Linked DNA regions of Nothobranchius furzeri. The protein of the gene in region 1 interacts with the protein of each later gene in a pairwise test. Links are inferred from orthologs where the notes say so. Each region holds a gene or a part of one and is shown on either strand. Other genes may lie near its edges.

The links.
Region 2: the proteins of tfg (region 1) and spg21 interact in binary tests that used the Homo sapiens proteins (3 or more experiments, as listed by UniProt). The two-hybrid records come from large-scale screens. The link is inferred for Nothobranchius furzeri from reciprocal best matches to the Homo sapiens genes TFG and SPG21.
Region 3: the proteins of tfg (region 1) and pef1 interact in binary tests that used the Homo sapiens proteins (3 or more experiments, as listed by UniProt). The two-hybrid records come from large-scale screens. The link is inferred for Nothobranchius furzeri from reciprocal best matches to the Homo sapiens genes TFG and PEF1.

Annotation. Positions count from the first base shown.
Region 1 is NC_091754.1:27,494,817-27,499,327, reverse strand, and holds the start of tfg (protein TFG), read right to left. Parts: upstream 2,805-4,511; 5' UTR 2,663-2,804; intron 812-2,662; 5' UTR 783-811; coding exon 599-782; intron 492-598; coding exon 408-491; intron 1-407. Other genes in the region: jagn1a (protein jagunal homolog 1-A), read right to left, coding at 3,632-4,094, 4,181-4,269. UniProt on the Homo sapiens protein: Plays a role in the normal dynamic function of the endoplasmic reticulum (ER) and its associated microtubules. Required for secretory cargo traffic from the endoplasmic reticulum to the Golgi apparatus.
Region 2 is NC_091749.1:20,282,437-20,286,162, reverse strand, and holds part of spg21 (maspardin), read right to left. Parts: intron 3,399-3,726; coding exon 3,318-3,398; intron 3,242-3,317; coding exon 3,096-3,241; intron 3,022-3,095; coding exon 2,913-3,021; intron 1-2,912. UniProt on the Homo sapiens protein: May play a role as a negative regulatory factor in CD4-dependent T-cell activation.
Region 3 is NC_091751.1:28,764,742-28,768,668, forward strand, and holds the start of pef1 (peflin), read right to left. Parts: upstream 2,801-3,927; coding exon 2,726-2,800; intron 2,411-2,725; coding exon 2,236-2,410; intron 1,130-2,235; coding exon 974-1,129; intron 609-973; coding exon 465-608; intron 1-464. UniProt on the Homo sapiens protein: Calcium-binding protein that acts as an adapter that bridges unrelated proteins or stabilizes weak protein-protein complexes in response to calcium.

The DNA.
Region 1 (4,511 bases):
ATCTGAAGATAGTTTCAGTTTTATTGGTCCTTTTGAAGCTTTATATAGAATTAGGAATCATCTCTTTGCTACCAGTTTTCTTCTCTCTGAGAAACAAGAACTTAAACAACTTTCAAGACTTTTGTTCAATAAAAATTGGGACAAGAATTAATAAACATTTAACTTTAGGCATGAACAGCACTACGAACCTCTATAATCATTATTTGTTTGCTCAACCACAGAGACACAGAAGCTCCACCAAAGGTTAGTGATTGGAGATCAGCAGAGTTCATTTATTCAGAGGTTTGTTTTGTGAAACATAAGCTAGACTGTCCTCTAGTGGCTGGCTGATGTATCTGCAGACCATTCAAATCCACTCAGGCTTAAAGTATGTGACAGAGGCATGGAGAGCAAGCGCAAAGTCTTACCAAATAATGTCAGTTTGAGTATTCTACTGCATTGGATTGCAAAGGAGAGGTCAGAGCTGTCAAAAATAGTGATGAGGTCATCATCTGACAAAGGAAAAACAAAGACCAGGTGAAATTTATATTACAATTATTTTACTCTTAAGTAATTAGAGTAGGGGAAACCCGGGCACCTGAGCTGTGTCCTGACTCACCTTCATCCTTGTATTTGATGGTGACCTCGTCGTTACTCTGCAGCTTGCCTCGGAAGACACGCTGCATCATCAGCACCAGTTCATCATATGTTATGTCTTCGTTGTGAATAGGGATGCGTCTAATGTCATCGCCCAGCTGGGCTTTGATGATCAGCTTCCCACTCAAGTCCAGCTGGCCGTTCATGTTGCCGTCTGACCTCTAAGGCTCCACCACTTGGTCCAAAAAGAGATGCAGTATTAAAAACAAGTAAGTTGCTTTTATTAAAGCTCTTTTTTTCCACTGAACATCAATAGTTCTAATTTAGCCATATACCAGAAATGGTTGGATGCTATAGGAAGTATGTTTGATTCAAATAAACTACAACTGCATTGAAAATGAGCCATTTCTGCTGTAACTCAGCCTCCTGCTGAACAAACCGACCTTAGGATCTGCATAGTCTAAGGGTCAAACACTACTCAGTGATGTGGCAAACACACTTAAGTGATTACAAACCTTCTTGTTGACTTAGATAAATCTGAACCACTTTGATAAGAGAAGCCTTTTACTGGTCTAGTACCAAAAAGTAATTTAGCACCATTATTAGAACCGTTTGAAATGTCTGCTGAAATTAAACCATTTCCAAGTTGTCAAAATTCACTATCAGCAACTGATTTCTTAGATCACGATTCTCAAACTGAGGCGTTTGTAGGACTTGTGAGCAACAGATACAGTGAGGAAATCTGACTGATTTCAAATGTGTCATTTCATATGGGTTAGAAAAAAGCTTATGGTTTGTGAAAGTATGATCAAATTAAACCTGCACACTTCAATGGGATTAAGGGTTATGTTTGCCCATTTGTGTCAAATATGAGATTGTAAACTGAACTGTGATGTAAAATGGGCAAATTACAGCTAAAACTTGCAATTACATTTTTGCAATTGTCTGTGAAAACAGGTGGTACTATGTGATATTGGCATTTTCATAAGTGGTACTCATAAAATGTTTAATAATTTAAACAGCTGGCACTTGATTATGCATTTCCATGAGAGTTGTGATTTTAGAGGTCAATTCAGCATCACCACAGCTGTGTTGAAGTCAAATTATAAAGGATTGCCTGCTGTTAATTCAAATTTGAAAACAAAACTCAATAATATAGGGAAAAAAATACTGATGGCCATTTTTATGAATGTGGAAGTTATGACACCTAACTTTGCGGTGATTCCAAAAATTTGCTAATATATAAATAAAATGTTACATTAAACAAAACTTCACTGTTCGTGATTGATTAATCTGTCACTTATTGCTAATGTGTGGTCGCCAGCTGATACAGTGGGCTGAACAAAATCCCATTGTGAATTGAATTCCAGAAATGTTGCGGCTTTAGCAGTCATGGCCAGATGGGTAATTAGCTAGATGCTAGGGATTGTGTTGTAGCTAACGTTTAGTACACAGCAGCATAAACTGGTAAACAAAAAAAAAAAAGCTGGTTTCTACCGGGAGAGGGGTACTAGATGAGAATCAAATGACAAATGTAAGAGGGCTGTAATTGGGGTGGTGCTGGCTGAGTGCTAGACACAGAATTCACGGACAGCTGAAGTTTTGACGGGCCACTTACAGACTGACATGTCAACAATCACAATATAAATCACACAAGCAAAGTAAAAAAAAAAAAACAGCAACACTATACTTTTATGTCACATCATTTGAATATTACACTAAAACAGACAATTTTTACTTGATTTTAAATCACCGAATCCGTAAACAGTGATTTCCTGACAAGCTACATTTGGAAAAAAACAAAGCTAAAGAAAGACCGTATATGCCACTTGTACAAGTGTGCCAGCCTCACCCTGCTAAGAACGTCTCACTCTTTTACAATATAACTTTCTACGAAACAGTCTTAAAAAGCTGCTTGGAAAAAAGTTAAGTGGCGTTAAAGTGACGTTAGCTCAGAGCTAGCACTAGCCAGTTAGCGCTAACCACATAGCTTCACAGCGAACATGCAATCATGACACACACATTCCCGTGTGCTTAGGTCTCAATTATATTACAGCGAAACTCTGAATCAAATAGCGGATTTTACCTGAATCAGACGACTTAACCACGCAGTACCTAACAAGCCTCACCAAAGCGTGAAAATTACTTGATATATTTAGCCAGCCTAGCTAGACCCAGGAAGTGTTCTCCGGATAGTCAACGTCAACAGTACGTGGCACTCTTTACGCGCAGGCGCAGACGGCAGCAAAGTGTGCCACCCTAAAATTGGAACATTACAAAGCATGAAGTCATTATTTATGTTCACAGGCATGGATGTTAACGTAAACGTATTTTTTCCACATAGAATACTATCTGTTTATTAGGCAATTTCATAATAAAAGAAGTCATTTCTCAATATTGTAAAATTATAGACAAAGAAAATCAAAACACTGCCTAAAGTAACCCATTTTTTATTACTACTAAGCATATTTTATATTTATAGTTAATGAAATCATGTTACCAATGCAAAACATTCTGGTATATACACATCTACGTTTACAAAGTTGTATTACTTCACTGTTATTTGACAAAGCTGTAAACAAAATATAATCAAGTGATGCTAAACATATAATTATTGAACAGTGCTGTTTTATTATGTTTCATAATTAAAATTAGTCAAACATCAAGGTTCCTGCACATGCAAAAATAAATAAATAAATAAAATGAAATAAAAACATTGGAATTTATTTTTGGTTTCCCACATTTGCTTTTTTACTCCTTACCACAGTGAACTAGTTGTATTGTGCTAGGTGAGAACTTATAATAACGATAATCTTCATAAAAAATAAAACATAACCCAAACCATTTTAATGCCTTATATTTAGTATCAGGAAATAATAAGAGTTGAACAGAGAATACAATTTTTCAAATTGAATTATACTTCATTAAAAACTTGGTGTTGGAAAACAATAAAACCAAAAGACTTATGTTATGTCATAAAAATAAAACAGACCTCAAAATAACACAGCTAAAATATACCAGATATTTTTGCCTAATCACAAATATTTTAATTTAATTATTTCTTCTTTTTTTCTTGCGTGGTGTTGAACCATGAGTCTAGCAGACTCTTCATGTAATATAGCTGCCATGCATGCACTTGAATAGCCACCACCATGATGAGGTACATAATGGTGACTGCTGAGAAGCCAAAAATGAAGCGGTAGGCTTTTCCGTGGCGGTAGAGCTGCTGTGCTACGGGAAACATCTCCATTCCTCCATAAATAAGAGGTGCAATAGAGAACAGCCCAGCACTTATCATGGATAAAACCAGGTAGCTGATGTTGTTTTTTGGTAGTGATAGGCTGCTGCAGAGCAGTGGGAGGAGGCTGAGCAGGTAGGGGTACTCCCATTGGTATGGTACAGACACTGTGTCATGTGACACCAGGTTGAAGTGGCTCACAATCACTTGGGACGCCACCAGCAGCCAGATCAGAAGGTGGACCAAGTTCAGCTTCCGCACCTCAGACTTCAGAGAAGCACTGAAAAGAAGACAAAAGACCCTCAGACTGTTAGAGACACATATTACATTTATTAATCAATAACAGATATGGAGAAGAGCACTAGCCTCATCTGGTAATGTGGGACAACCCTCTCTCTAGGTTTAAAGTCACTTCCATTAGTACCGGTACTTCTGAGGCCAGCGCGAGAGGTCATGTTGAGAAAATTCTGCAAAAAAAAAAAAAAAAAAAAAAAAAAGGACTTGACACAACAGGTTCATCTCAATTCATCTTCAAAATTTCAATTTTATAAAAATACGTGGATTTGATTATATTCCAATAATTTAATCTCCAAAATTTTAAAGAGGCTGTTATGGATGCTTAATGGACCAATTTACCCATCCACATCTGAAACAACTGGAATCATGTAATGTCTACGTTTTCTCCACACATCCCACA
Region 2 (3,726 bases), on another chromosome or scaffold:
GGTCTGCTTCTTTTGTCTAAAATATTAAAATATAAAGCTAATAATAATGTTTAGAATAAATGCTTGTTTGAATTATCATTAAAAAAAAACAAATTTGAGAATGTGATACAAGAAATTTGATAACTTATAAGATGAAATATCACACATTGGGCCTTTAAATCATCATCTTATTCATTCCACAATTTCACACCAACAACGGAAACACATCTTGATTTCACATTAGTTCTGGCTTTTACACATTCAAACATAAATACACCTCTGAGATTATAATGATCATCTCTTGGTTTGAAATAAACTTTTATGCAATTAGGGATATTATTAACTACTTTATGAAGAATCTCTAAGATTTTTACTTTAATAATATCTCCTAATTTTAGCGTTTTAGTTTGACTAAACAGATTATGAGTTGGTACGAGGTATCCCAATTTATTAACTATTCTAATCGCCTTTTTTTGTCATTTAAATACAGTCTCAACACACGTTTTACCTGCATTTCCCCAAACCTCTGCACAGTAAGACAAATAAGGCATAACTAAAGAGCAATAGATCAAAAACAAGGCTTTTTTATTTAGTACATCACTAGTTTTATAAAGTATAGCAATAGATTTAGACACTTGCCGTTTGATATATTCAATATGTGGTTTCCAACTGAGTTTACTATCAATAATCACACCTAGGAATTTAGTTTCATGTACTTGTTCAATTGGGACTCCATTTAAATACAGCTTAGCACCGTCATTGTGCCTGTTCCCTGAAAATATCACAAATTTGGTTTTATTTTCATTTAGTGATAGCTTGTTGTAATCAAACTATTTTTTAATTAAACCCAATTCGTTTTAAACCTCTTGTAATAATTTACTCATATCTTTTCCCATACAAATGAAATTAGTTTCATCTGCAAACATAATAAATTTTAACCGAGACGATACAGAAAAGATGTTGTTCAGGTATAGGTTGAATAATTTCGGTCCTAGCACCGAGCCTTGCGGTACACCACATATTACTCTTACAAGCTGTGAATCTATATCATTAACATTTACATATTGAAATCTACTGCTTAAATAACTTTCAAGCCATTGATTGGTTTTACCACGAAGACCATAGTATTCACATTTCTTGAGCAGGTATGTGTGATCAATTGTATCAAATGCCTTACTCAAGTCAATTAAGACAGCCACTACATTAAGTCTTTGATCCACTGATGTTGCAATCTGAAGCTGAGCTGAAGCTGAGTGCTACGAGTGAAAAAGTCGCACAGTGTCCGCCCAGCTTTACTCACCTAGTCTCCACGACCTCCGTAAGTCCCCACTCATTACTCCCCTTCTGGACTACATCTCCCAGGACTCACCTCTGTTGTTCTCCCCTCTAGACGCTGCCTTCCCGTTTCTTCACCTGCTGGATTTCCAGTGCGCCCTTAAGCTTGGTTTATGCTTGACGCATTCACTTTCCACGCGGTGACGTGGCTCGCGGCTGGAACGCGCTTCGCAATTTGCAGCGTTTATGGTTTGTGCGGCTCGTCTCTGCGGTGAGCCAATATTCTCCCAAACTGAACGGGGCAGCATGGAGCTCTACGGCAAACATCCAACACTACACCATAGTAGAAGTAGAAATTACTGTTTACAAAACGGCATTTCAGCATTTTTAACAGCGTTCTCGTCTTTTCCGACAGTGCGAGCTATTTCTCTCCAAGAATTATTAACAACATGTTGATCACGGTGATCTCTGAGAGCTGAATCATACAAATCTCTGAATTTACGAACCTCTGCCGTACTAGTTCTTGCCGGTCCGCCATGTTTTTCCGCGTCCGACCGTCCGCGTGGTTAGAAATTTTCCGAGGTGCGCGTTGCGGAAATTCTGGGCCGTGCGGAGACGCGGTGGAGGGGCGTGGTTGTTAAAATGACGCAAAATGACGCAACTTTTCCGCGCGGAGCCATGCGGACCTCACGGACGCGTCAAGCATAAACCAACCTTTAGTTAACGTTCTCCTTTAATAAAAGATTGTTATTTTTCCGTCAACCGTTGTCCTGAACTGATTCAGCATGTCTTGGGTTAGACTCTTGCCCCAAACCATGACAAAACTGACCAATTTTTTTATTAACCTTTGGTGGCAAAAATGTCAACAGCTGAGGTTAGGGACATAAGGAAATAAAACACAATGTTATTCGCTGACCAACCGCTACATGTTGGGTGTCTAAAGTTTCTATTTCACACACTGAGAAAATCCTCCTGCAATGTTTTTTGATCCTGCTTCAAATGCACGATGAGGTTGGACGTATTCATCTTCCCCAGTTTTGTTCCACCACAGGAAACTTGTGCACGACGAGTGTTGCACTGGGCCAAACTGTCTTTTTTGGACTTCAACGAAAAATAAGGACACATGGCCGACATTGTTCCTTGCTACTTTGCTAGCACACTTGGGCTTTGCATGCTGGATCTGGGCACTGCTGGACAGAAATGCTGGAATGAAATTTAAAGCAGAACGTACCACTAATATCGGAGATTTTTGATGCAGTCCGATATAATCCGATAGTGTTTTTGGGCTGATATCCGATATCAATATCGGAGTGGGACATCCCTACTAGTTTCATCAGCAATCGAATATTAAAGGCTCAATAATATTGATAATCCATAATTTTATGGAATATTACATTTGTTTGAATACCTTTATATTCTATTGACAATTTATTAAAAGTAACCACCTACAAATCACCATCACTGTGCATTTTGACCCTTGGGCTCTGTTTAACAGGTCTTCTAAAACCTTAAAGTTGTACAGTCCCGGTTCATGGGTTAGGGTGGTTAGGATTAGGGCTAGGACCGTCAGAAATAAACGGTCTGACGGTCCAAACGTCTTCACATTTAACAAACCCTCTTCACCTCAATTATATTCAAACACACAGGGGTCCACTTACCCTGTCTACCATAAAGTCAATAGCGTCGGCCATTTTAGAGTCCACAGGTCCTTTGGAAAAGTTACCCAGAATGATCTTTTTCAGTAAGAAGGCTGGCATCAGCCAGAAGCTGGGGAGGAAAACAGAAGCTGCATGAATTATGAAACAAACCTTCAGAGACTGTAAAGAGACCCATTAAAGTACCTGTTTGATGTCCATGTTTGGTTGAAGATAGACGTGTCACTGAACGAGTTACACAGAACCAAAGAGTGCACTCTGGGAGACTTGTGTGTGTACTCTGCAAACTTCTGAGCTAAAAATCCCCCCAGAGATGCTCCAAACAGGTGGATCTGATGAGACACACATGACAGAGCTAGCATACAGAGAGACAAATTATTTTTAAAGCTACTGGAGACAAAGTGTAACCTTGTCAAGTTGTAGGTGATCCAGAAGCTTCCGAAAGCCATCACAGAACTCCATGAGATCCCAGTACACGGGATAGTGCAGCTGAAATGACAACATGAAACATTTTCCAAGAATCAAGTAAATGTGAAACCTCTGATCTCAAAAGTATCCTGAACATGATCTTGTGTTGTTCCAGCTCTGGGTACTCTGGAAACTGTGGTTAATGTTAGAAGACTGCTGAAAGGTTTGTTCTCTTTCTAAAAATGTTTTAATGTCTCAATATGGGATATGCCGCTCTGCAGATTCCTCACTTTTTGTGTTAAATATGTAAGCCAATGAGTACCTGCTAGCCATGAAAGCCACAACTACTAAGCAACCAACCAACCATAGATAGCTTTGGATCTAAAACAATATTTTAGATACAAGCCTA
Region 3 (3,927 bases), on another chromosome or scaffold:
GAGCAGCTGTCTTGGCAAGTTCTCGTTATGATGGACGGGTACCGAAACGAGGCACCGTTTGAAATGACGTGAATCGGTGCTCGGTCGGTACTATGGAATTTGTTCGGTACCTTAAAAAGTACCGAATTCGGTACCCATCCCTATCTGCCTGTATCTGTTTTGTCTACATGTGTGTGTAACCTTGGTCAGGCTGTGCTGCAGAGTCAGATTCCTATGCTTCGGGATGCCGGAGCACTGGCAGTAATACTTTTCTGATTCTGATGGGGTCAATAGGTCACATGTATACTTTGGGACCTGACCTCACAGAGCTCTGCAAGTCAGAAATAAAGTGTCTAAATCAATTCTGTATTTTATGGAAACAGTTCAAATCCAGATGTGAGCAGTGTCATTACCTCACTTCTCCTCATCCATCTGGGTTTAGCAACAGAACCGGTTTGGATTAAGAATCAGAAACCTAGGTATACCTTGGTGCAGCTCGGTGCCACTGATGCATCCAGATCGGTCTCGGTCGCAGTTCTGGAACATGGCTCTCCACTGCTGCAAGAAGTTCCACAGAGCCGAGAATCCAAACAGATCTATCCGACCCGACCGCGTCTGATCAAACATGTCTGACGGTGGAAACATAAAAACAAGCTTTGTTTCTAAACTTGAGTAGAAACATTTCATCGTGTCCAGGTTTATTTGAGAAGAGCACGTCCTTGTCCCCAGAGGTGACTCGTTCTCCCGTCTCCAGAACGAGTCAGCTCCTGGCACCAGGAATGTAACAGAACCACTGTTGGACTGGAAACAAACACGTCTGAACTCCTCCCAGAACCATCAACTGTTTTTACTTTAAAGTCTGGAATATCGGAGCTAAACAGAGTAGGAGTTCACATTTACATTGGACCTGTTTAGAAGACCCTCCAAAGGTTAGAAAAGTCACACAGCAGTCCCCGCCGGTTTTGCCCCAACCTGCAGCAGCTGAGTAACTCACTGATCATCATGAGGCAAGTTTCATCGTTAAAGCTGGACCAGTTGGAGTTGACAAGAGCCTGTTTCAGCTCCTTCAGGTTGATGAATCCGCTCTGATCTGTGTCGACGGTCTGGAACCACTGATACGCCTCTGGGTTAACACCAGGGGGGACATTACCTAGATGGAGGACAAACGTGGAGACATTAAATGATGATTAGATCAGCTAAATCTCTATTTGAGGCAAGAAAACTATAAATTGTTTTTCCATTAAACCTAAATCATCCCTGGGAGGATGACCAAGTAAACTTTTACTACACAGCTTTACCCTAGAGGTCGACCTCCAAGAGAGTCGGATAGTCAGAGAGACAGGTGATTCTTTAACATGCAAACATGATGGGGTGGAGAAACGTGACTTTACCCCATCCAGTCAGGAAACGCAGGGTAACCCAAATGTAGAAGCAGTGGCCAAGTATTTTGTGGGAACCACAAACGAATCCACCACCATCCCCTCTCCCGCTAACTGGCACCGTACGGGCAGTGACTGTCTTCTGGTCGTTCTGGAGCTGAACTGCTCCATATATTGTTATATTGATTTGAGGCTTTACTGCCCAGCCGTGACAGAGCATATAAAAACCAAAATCACGATAAATATGGAGACAGGCTGTTGCTAGATAGTTGGTGTGACAGGTAGTCAACTTGAGTGGAAAGCCTTAGCAGCAGACCTATTTACTGTCTAAGGCAGTGATGATATCAACTTTCACCATATCAGGTCTGAAAGAATGAGGTTGGAGATGAGGTGCTTCACTGTTTGAGTACCAACTTCTCAAGGACTAGATAAGGTAACATGGAGATGGGTCCATAGCAAATAGGGTCAGACTCAGAGCCACCTTTGTAGAGGGAAAAGATCATGGCTGATTTACAATCTGGAGGAAGGATAGAGAGCCGTCAGGACAAGTTAAACATTATTGCGATGGGAGCAGCAATAACGAGGCCAGGTGCTTTTAACAACATGGGGTCTATGTTGTCATAACCAACTGTTTTATTTGGGTTCAGCGTGGTGAGTTCATCCTGCCCCTCTGGGACAGAGAGAGATTTAAAGGTTATAACGGTTTGGATCGGTGAAAGCTCTGGTTGAGTTAAACCCACCCCTGTCTCTACATGTCCTTCCTCTCCGTCATCCCCGCTGGAACACGACAGGAAGACAGAGAACAGCAGCAAAGAAAGGAAACCAGACAGATGTTATACAGATGTTTAGAGCACTGGTCCATCACAGAGCTCACTACCTGCAGGTGCTTGAGGTCTGTAAGGCTGTCCCCCGTAACCACCAGGACCATACTGTCCACCATGGGCTGGAGCTCCATTACCCCCATATGGACTTCCTGCAGCACCACCCCCATAAGGACCTCTGGGTCCGCTGTAAGGAGAACCTGGTGATGGGTTGCCCCCACCTGGATAACCCTACAAGAGGACTACAGTTTGATTAGACAGAACTTTTCACAAATGAAAACATTACATCGGTCTTGACTCTTGATTCTGCCTTTTGAACTAATATTATTTCCTGTCTATTTTCTAATAGATAAGGACACGAAGACACATGTAGAAATCTGCATTTCTTGACGTTTCACAAATCAGATAAAAGTATCACAAATCACTAACTACATTTTAAGTAAACTGCTATCAGTCTAGAACAATCTTCAGCTCTGTAAGCCAAGCAGACATTTATTCCTTACCAGCTTTATTTAAAAGCATATAAAACCCAGATATATAATCCACAGCATTGGCTGCTCCGTAGGTATGAATAGTAGACATCCCATTGGGTGCTGAAGAGTGGAACGCCGTTGGCGCCATATTGGATGGGTCACTCACTCTCCAAACCCAACTGGAGTCAACACGGAATGAACAACTATGCTCGTGTTTTTGTGCAGCCTACGGTTGCAACAACCGGCGCATCAAAAACAGATCACGTGGGACTTTTATAGCCTACCTCTTGGGATTTTATATATTATTTCTTTAGTTTGATTTTGTTTTATATGTTTTTATTTTAACTATCATGCTTTATAGCAATAAAGCAATACATTCAAAATTTCAGCTTGCATAATTTCAGTCTATACAAAATTTGCTGATTTCAGAAGAATACATCAGTATCGGTAAATATCAGTTATCCACCATAACAGTGATATTAGTATCGGTATGAACACACGAGTGAACACATCACTCCTGTATTATCTTCACTGCACTGGCTGCCTGTCCATTTTAGGGTTCATTTTAAACTTATTTAGTTTGTTTTTAAGTCTTTAAACGGTCTTGCCCCGCGCTACCTCTCTGCGCTACTGCACCTTCACTCCTCCTTTCAGTCGCTCGATCAGGTCATCTGACCAGTTGCTCCAGGACGTTCCAAGGACACAGCGTAAGCTCAGAGGGGATAGGGCCTTCGCTGTTGCTGCTCCCAGAACTCTTTGCCGGCACATCTTAGAAAGGCCTCCACACTGGAAACTTTTAAATCATCTTTAATGACCCACCTTTTTAGCTTTGCTTTCGACACTGTATGAAGTTTTGGATTTCTGTTTTATTTTAGTGTGCTTTTAACTTCTATACTGTATTCTATTTTATGCTTTTATGTTTTTATATTCAGCATTTTGGTCCGTGACGGCTGTTTTAAAGTGCTTTATAAATAAAGTTGGCTTGGCTTGGTATCGGCCAAAAAGATTCATATTGGTGCATCCCTAATTAAAGGTTCACGTTTTAGTTTTTTTTAATAACATCATAGCGCTAAGCTCACGTTTTCTTTAAAAAAAAAACCTGCCCAAAACAGCTGTTCTGCTGGTGGCACGAGGCCAGTCTGCAAAGGAAGACGGTTTGCTGCTAAATGAAATAGCCTATGTAGTAGTAGAGCCCTTCTAGCCAATCAGAGGCGAGAAAGGCAGGATCTTCCTTGGCCATCCTACAATTCTAAATCACGTCCGCAGGGCGTCTAC